Linked DNA regions of Canis lupus familiaris. The protein of the gene in region 1 interacts with the protein of each later gene in a pairwise test. Links are inferred from orthologs where the notes say so. Each region holds a gene or a part of one and is shown in the gene's direction. Other genes may lie near its edges.

Region 1 (3,591 bases):
GGGCAGCTGGAAACTGGGGAGCCTTAGAGAGAGGGATGGGCTAGGAACCTTTCTTGGGGGGCCTGCAGGATGAGCTGGGTGATTGTGCGAAGCTTTGGGAAGGAAGTAGGGGAAAGGGATGGAGGCCATTCAGGGCAAGGACATTAATGGAATAGGGCCTGGGGAGAGGGAGAGAGGGCAGCCCCCTTAAGCCTGATAGGGCACAGCAGGTCCTCTCTGGTCTACCTTGTGAGTGAGGATGGCTGGGCTCCCATTTCCAGGTGAAAAGGTTGACTCAGAGGAGAGGAAAGACTTGCCCAAAATGTCTCTGTTAAGCCATGGTGCTGGGGGGATTGTGGGGGGGGGCTCCAGCCCAGCCACTGGTGTCCTACTTTCAAGCTATCACCTGTCCCTACCCCCCACCTGCCCCAGAATCCCTCACATCATGGTCTGTCCCCAGGCATTGTGGCTGTGACCCATGTGCTAGCCTACCTGGAGGCTGTGACAGGCCGTGGCCCCCAGGATACACGCCTCCGAACACTGGCCTGCAACCTGGACCCCAATGGGGAGGGTCCTCAGGCCACTGTGGACTTGGACACCTTCCTTGCCGTCATGCGAGACTGGATCGCTGCCTGTCAGTTGGATGGGTAGGTCTCTGCACCTCTAGCCCTCCCCACCCCCGGAAGTCCTTCCTAAGATCTAACCTCATACCTGCTTACTGCAGCCAGCACCCTTTGGGCAAAGAGGCCTACTGTAGTTTGAAGGAGACTGAGAAGGAGAGAAAAGTGAAGAGATGGGGTTGGGAGGATGGGGTGGAGGGTCTGAAGACAAAGTTCCTGCGATGGGGGGAGGCAGAAATAAAAGGGACTGGAAGGGGGAGGAATGAGGGTGCTGGGGGGCCGGCAGAGGCCTCTCCCCACCCCTTCTCCAAACCCAGTCCTTGCCCTCTTCTGTTCTTCCATCTGGCCCTGGGTTCCTGCCATCTGGCCTTACCTTCCTCCCCATGGTGGGGCTCTCAATGCTCTTGCTCTCACCTGACTCGGCCCCTCCTGCCACCAGCAACCCTCCCTGCGAAGCGAGGCCAAGCAGGATTGGGGGTGGCTGCAGGGGGCTCTAAGCCTCATCCCTTTGATACAGGGGATTAGAGCTGGAAGAGGAGACAGCCTTTGAGGGGGCCCTGACCTCCCAGCAACCGCCATCTGGTGAGACTACCATATATAGAATAAAGCAGGCAGGCCCAGGGTCAGACAGTGGGGGGACTTCCCACCAGGGGACAGAGCCAGGGGCATGGGGTGGGACCCCTGGAACATTTGCTCTAGTCTGGAGCTGTGAGTTTGGCCTTCCAGGCATCTCTATGGCTGCCTCCCCCACCGTCCCTGAGCTTTGGGTTTTTTTTTTCTTCAGGGCTGGTTCCAAGTCCTCCTCCTAACTGCACCCCTGTCATAGAGGCCAGGGAGCCCCGGCCCACCTGTCCTTGTCAGCATAATGGGCTCCTGTCTACTCTCTAGTCTTTGATCCCACAGGCCTACCTGCCCTCCAGGGTCTTTCGCTTCTGCGATTCTCCCTAAAACTTCCCACAGCTGGGGAAGCCCCACCTAGGGAAGCCCTGGGATGCCCCAGGCTAAGGTCCCTGGCTGTCCAGGCTCACTCACAGGACTGCCTGTCTTTCCTGGAGAAATCTGACCATCTGATTGAGTCACTTGCCCTGCTATTTGGTTAGTTGAGCTGTTCCCAATTTTATCCCTAGGGCCTCACATGTAGCAGGTGCTCCATAGAAAAAGCTCTCCCCTTATACCTTACAAAAACAAAACAAAAGCAAATCTACATGTACAGTTTTCTTGACATTCCCTTGAACCTCTTCCTTTTGGGCTTGGGGGGCCATGGGAGGGGCAGGTAAACTCCGGTTGAGATAACACCCCTCCCAAGTAGGGGGAAGGTCAGGATGTGAAGGCTGGGGAGGAGGTTGTGGGTCCAGGAGGAGAAGGAGAAACCTGAGCCAAGAGAGTGGAGCAGAGTCAGGGAGGAGGGGTCAGGGCCTGGACTCCAATGGACTGTGGGGATGAGGAGGAGCGAGGGAGGGAGGACAGCCCTGTGGCTGGGTGGCTGGGTGGCTGGGTGGGAGGGAAACCAGGAAGAGGAACAGGTTTCAGGGCAGTTGAGGGGCTGCCACCGCCCATGTCAGGTGTGGTGAATCCAGGGCTATGAGAAAGATCCAGCTTGAGCTCAGGGTACCAATGAACAAGAGGCCTTTCAGATAGTGGATGTAACCATAGCCCCAGGGGCAGATGAGATGACCCAGGGCAAATGTAAGGGTGAGGCTAGTGGAGGCCAAGGCCGCAACCTGGGGGGGCGCCAAGGCCGCAACCTGGGGGGGCCCCACCGCCTAAGGTCACCAGGAGCCTACCACCCTCTGTCTGTCTCCCTCCAGGATGCCCAGAAGCCGAGGAACCAGCCAACTTGGAGAGCTTCGGAGGCGAAGACCCCAGACCTGAGATGTACCAATGCCCCCCCACCTCCCTTCCCCACTGCCCACGCCCTCCAGCCTCCACCCTTAGAGCTTGGGGTCCTTGCGGAGTGGGTGAGGGATGGGATGGGCCATGCTCCCAGAGAGCGGGGCAGTCTCTCTATTGTTTCTCTTTCTCCAGAAGAGCCTCATCTCCCCACTGCAGCCACCCCCTACCCCGCCTGGGAAGGTGGAGGGTTGTGGCCTGTGACCAGCCCTTCCCTGACCTCAGGCCCGCCACAGCTGACCTGCTGAGCAGCCTGGAGGACCTGGAGCTCAGCAACCGCAGGCTGGCTGGGGAGAACGCCAAGCTCCAGCGCAGCGTGGAGACAGCTGAAGAGGGAGCCACACGCCTGGGCGAGGAGATCACAGCCCTGCGCAGGCAACTTCGCAGGTGGGCCAGGGGCCTGTGTCCCTCTTACCGCAGCCCTACTCAGCTCGCTTTCCATGTGTTCTCCCTGCACTTCCTGCCCTGTCTGTGACCCCACACTGTCCCTTTCTGCACTTCCTCTTTCTGTCCCACCCCCTTAGTCTTTTAGGTAGAAACTGGGTCTCTGTCCCCTGCACCAAATTCCTCCCCTCCTTTCCCTCTGGATCTCTGTACCCAACCCCTAGGTCTCTGTCTAGGATTTTCTCTGTTACTTCCCGCTTTCTTGAGTGGAGCTATCTCTACGGTTTCCCTCTCATGTGGCCTACCTGCCCCACCCCCACTCAGTACCCAGCAGGCTCTGCAGTGTGCCAAGGCTGTGAATGAGGAGCTGGAGGACCTGAAGACTCTGGCCAAGAACCTGGAGGAACAGAATCGCAGGCTCCTGGCCCAGGCCCGGCAGACGGTGGGTTCTGGGCAAGGGGCACAAAGCTGCTCTCTTCCTTCCCCCTTTCTTGGAGTCTGAGCAACAGAGCCTGACCATGGAATAGAAGTTACCCTGGCTTCCTCTCTGACTCCAGATCCTGTTTGCCCAAGACTTAGGGTCCAGATCTATTTGCCACTCCTCTCATGACAGGGGGGACAGCAGGAGCCATCAGGGCTCCCAGACTCATCCTCCCAGCCTTGCTCCTCAATAACCCAGATCCAAGATGTATTCCCAGGTGTGGGAGAAGGCCAATAT
Region 2 (4,291 bases), on another chromosome or scaffold:
AAAGATTTATTTATTTATTCAGAGAGAGCGAGAGAGAGGCAGAGACACAGGCAGGAGAAGCAGGCTCCATGCAGAAAGCCTGATGTGGGACTCGATCCCGGATCTCCAGGATCACACCCTGGGCTGCAGGCAGCACTAAACCGCTGCGCCACCAGGGCTGGCCAAGAAGTCCTTTAATAAATGCTTCTTGAATTAGAGAATCAGGCAGAACAAGGAGCTCATGACTCTAGGCCAGACCAGGAACCTTGAGTCAGAGAATTGTGGCTACTAGGTTTGTGGGTGGCCTGTAAAGAGTGCTAAACAGAAACTGTGAACTGGAAGGGGCCCCCGAGGTTGCCTCATTCTGGAGCTTTCAAACCTCTTCTATGACCACAATATGATACGTGACATTAGATAGGCAGAGGGAACAGAAAAGGTGGAGGGGAACATGGTGGAAATGGGCCCAGTCTGTGGAATTCCCTCAGCAGCCTGAAACACCACGATAAGGTCAAGTTTGTAAAAATGATTGAACAAGTCCAGTATTCTGATTTTACAGACCAGGGAAAGGGTACTCTGGAGAAGTGACTTGTTCAAGGTCTCACAATTAGTGGTGGAGTGGGAAAAGGACTCAGATGTGACTCCCACTCAGTGTTCCCAGACTGAACCAGACCCTGAGGAGTACCTTCCAAGCATCCACCATCCCAGATGCATGAAGAATTCCACTAAGCAAGCTCCATGGTTTAAACCAGCGTCCCCATGCAGTGTATTTTAAAAGTAAAGTTAGGGGCATTGGGTGGTTGAGTCGGTTAAGCCTCAGATTCTTGATTTTGATTTGGTCATGATTGCAGGGTCTTCAGATGGAGCCCCAGGTCGGCACCACTGGGCATGGAGCCTGCTTGGGATTCTTTCTCTCCCTCTCCTCCTCCCCTCTCTCTAAATATAAATAGGGGCTCCTGGGTGGCTCAGTCGGTAGTGTCTGCTTTACCCTCAGGTCATGATCCCCACGTGGCTAGCTCTCCGTTTTTTGGGGGGGGGAGTCGGCTTCTGCCTCACCCTCTGCCTGCCGCTCAGCCTGCTTGTGCTCTCTGGTGAATGAGTGAATTTTACAGGAAAAATTAGATGTGACAAACTGAGTAATGTGGCAAAGCTTTCCCGGGAAATGCCACTTTTCCTTTTCGCAGTTCCAGGAGTATGCGCTTCCGTTACCGGAAATCCTGAGATAGGGAGCTGGTGTGTGTGGGGGGTGTTCAGGTGTTAGTTCTTCGGTGGTGCGCGAGGCTGAGGTACAGTTTGTGTGCAGGCGGCATGTGCAACTCCTTAGCGGAGCCTCACACCAGGCAAGTGCAAGGTCCTCAGCCGGCCCCCAACGGCCGGGATCCGCCCTAGCTAGCTCCAGCCCTCAACCCCGGCCCTGCAGCCCCACGCAGCGTCTCCGTGGACCCCGCCAAAGCAGGTCCGCCCGAGTGAGGGCGCGCGTCTTCCGCATCTTCGCAGCACCAGTTCCAACCCGGCAGCTGCCCCCACGGGGTGATGAACCTACTGCAACCGCCGAACGACCGTCCCCGGGCTGAGTATCCATCCCCGCAAACTACCCCCGAGGGGCCGCTTCTTCGCCGCCCGTCGACCCGCCCAGGCAGCCTTGCGCGCTGCCTGGAGCTTCCTTCCCCAGCTCTGGGACCAGGACTAGCTCAGCGTTGCAGCCAGTGCTGCGCTCGGCGTCCCGAGGGCTGGCCAAGACGATTCCCTCGCATCCCGGGGGCTGCAAGCTAACCGGAAATAGAACCGCCCCGGACCCCAGGAAACTGGCGTTCGCGGGCGAGCTTCCGCCACATCCGCTGAGGACAGAGCGCCTCCCCCACGCCTGGACTTCCGGGTCCACGTGCGCCTCTATGGTGTCCGCAGCCTAGAGGGACCGACCGGCACTTCCGGGAAGATGGCGGCGCACAGAACGGGCGACGCACGTGTTCGCGCGGAGAGGGCCCCGCGGTGACGGTAAGTGGCTACTGCGCCCCGAACGGAGTCAGTCGGAGCCTGGGCTCAGGAGTGAAGGCGGGGCAGGACAGTGTCCTTGGCCGTTGGAACTACGGCATGAGGAGGGAGGCCAGGGTCGGGGTAGCGGCCCTTTGGAAGCGCTGTCAGATGGGTGGTCCTGGGACCCTTTTCCAGAAAACTCAGGTTGATCAGAAAGGGGACGGTTCCAGAGAACGCGCTCGCAGCCTTCCCGGGCCCGCGGGGCACCGCGTGGGGCCTGGTTGCTTCTGTACAATTACTGTGGGCAGTCAGCTGAAGCCGCCCGGATCTGGGTCGTACCGCTGAGCGCATTCCACTCCTGCATTAAGTGCACGGGGTTGCGGAGTAAAGCCCGACCCTGATGCGGGGCGTGTAGTTCCGAATGACTGCAGTGGTAAACCTCAAGGCGGGCAGCGCGAAGAGCTGTGAGAGACCAGTTCTGGGATGCCTGAGATCCTGGATCTGCAACTTGCCAGCTCTTTGCTTTGGGCAAATAATAAACTTATCTGTGATTTCTTCTGTTAAGTGTCGGTAATAATATTTCCTAAGGGGACTGTTGGGAGGATGAAATCAGACGATCTGTGTAAAGAGGTTAGCAGGCTGGCATTGAGTAAATGACTTTTAGACACTGTTGTTATTACGAAGATCTGGGGGCTGATGGATGAGAGATAACTTCCGGGAGGAGGCCGAGTTTTGAGGCGCCCTTAAAAGGCCCCAGTGTTCGAATTTTACATTTCTTAAAATTCAAGAAGTAAGATAGAGCAGTTTCTTCGCTTGGCTTTTTGTTGGGATTCTCAAGGTACCTGGTTTTTGGGTGATCGTTCTTCATAGTAGAAATGTGAACAGAAATATAAGTCATCCTGAATTTGCCTGCTCTAAATACCAAGCCAGAATGGGCAGCATTCTTAAGCCTATACATATATTTAGGAGAGGTGACTTCAGCTGATGTGGCTGATTAATATCATGTTCACTGGGCCTTCTTAAACACAAATGCAAGTTTTACCCTAAAGAATTGTCACATTGGGAGGCTTAGGGTTACTCCACTAGTGCCATTAATCCTTAAAAATGGTCTGCAATCCCTGTGATGAGTTACCTTAATACAAGTTAACTTTAGTGAGTTAAGTCAGCAGTGGTGGTCTTAGTTTTGTGTGTCTCGTGTGATAAGCTGGATAATGCCATTCTGGGCTCCCAAAGGAGAAGCGCCTAGATGACTAGTAATTGTGATGGGATGGAGGCCTCGTTGGAGGTGGGCAACCTGGGCTTGTATTCCGGCTCCATCTCTTATTAGCTATGTGACGCAGGCTTTGTTTTCTTTGCTTGTAAAGTAAAGGTAATTGTTATCCACAGGACTATCAGGATTAAATAAGACAATACAACAGTATGTGTAATCAATCTGTGATGCATGAAATGATCAGTGAGATGGACAGTTTCAAAAGGGGTGTTCCAATAAGAGTGAAGAGCAGCAGTGAGGAAGAGGTGCAGAGCCCCCACACTTGAGGTGACAGCCCTGGAGCATCGGTATGAGATAGGGGCTCCGCTGAGTATTCTTATAACTCAGGTTAAAAATCTCTTATCACCTTTTTTTACATGGCAGTAAATCTAGGGAGCTGTTAACCATGTCGTGGCAAAGAGCAGGGCTGTGCCGGCAGGCCATCTGGTTGACCTGGAGCAAGTCACGTTTCCTCATTTGTGAAGTACGGATGATAATACTTTCCTGAATGCAAAGTTTAGGAACCCTTTCTGGGCTAGGAACATTAAACACTCATGTGGTGAGCTCTCCGTAAATTTGGGTGTTATTAGTAACACCAGTCTTACTTGACTTTTCAACATGCTGATCTCTGTGGTCAGCAGGGAGCTCTCCCAAAGACCAGGCCTCCTCCCTTTGTCTACCCCACACTCAGAAAAGAATTTTTATGAGACCAGTCAGGATGGATTGGATGGACGATTTGGGCATTTTCTCCTTTTCTTTTAAAGGGATGATAATGGCCTCTTCTCTGGTGAGGGCCTGAGGATAGTGACTCTTCTCTCACCATGAGTGCCACCCCAGAGATCAAGAGTCGTGGGATGAAGTTTGCTGAGGAACAGCTGCTAAAGCATGGATGGACACAAGGTCATCCCTGGGGGGCCCCTTCCACATCCCCCCAACTCCCTGTCCACCTTGTGGTCAGGTGAACAGCGTCATCTGGGGCTTACCCGTAGTAGTCCATTCACCTGGAGGAGGAAAAGCGAGTTTAAAGGGCAATTTGCAGAAGACAATTTCTAAGTTTCCGGAAAATGGTTGGGTAGAAGAAATTTGATAGTA

The links. The genes of interacting proteins can lie anywhere in the genome.
Region 2: the proteins of KASH5 (region 1) and GPATCH4 interact in binary tests that used the Homo sapiens proteins (3 or more experiments, as listed by UniProt). The two-hybrid records come from large-scale screens. The link is inferred for Canis lupus familiaris from reciprocal best matches to the Homo sapiens genes KASH5 and GPATCH4.

The regions. Positions count from the first base shown.
Region 1 is NC_049222.1:107,764,057-107,767,647, reverse strand, and holds part of KASH5 (protein KASH5), read left to right. Parts: intron 1-439; coding exon 440-626; intron 627-1,116; coding exon 1,117-1,181; intron 1,182-2,407; coding exon 2,408-2,474; intron 2,475-2,624; coding exon 2,625-2,876; intron 2,877-3,197; coding exon 3,198-3,315; intron 3,316-3,591. UniProt on the Homo sapiens protein: As a component of the LINC (LInker of Nucleoskeleton and Cytoskeleton) complex, involved in the connection between the nuclear lamina and the cytoskeleton.
Region 2 is NC_049228.1:41,340,227-41,344,517, forward strand, and holds the start of GPATCH4 (G patch domain-containing protein 4), read left to right. Parts: upstream 1-1,456; 5' UTR 1,457-1,971; intron 1,972-3,963; 5' UTR 3,964-4,020; coding exon 4,021-4,099; intron 4,100-4,291.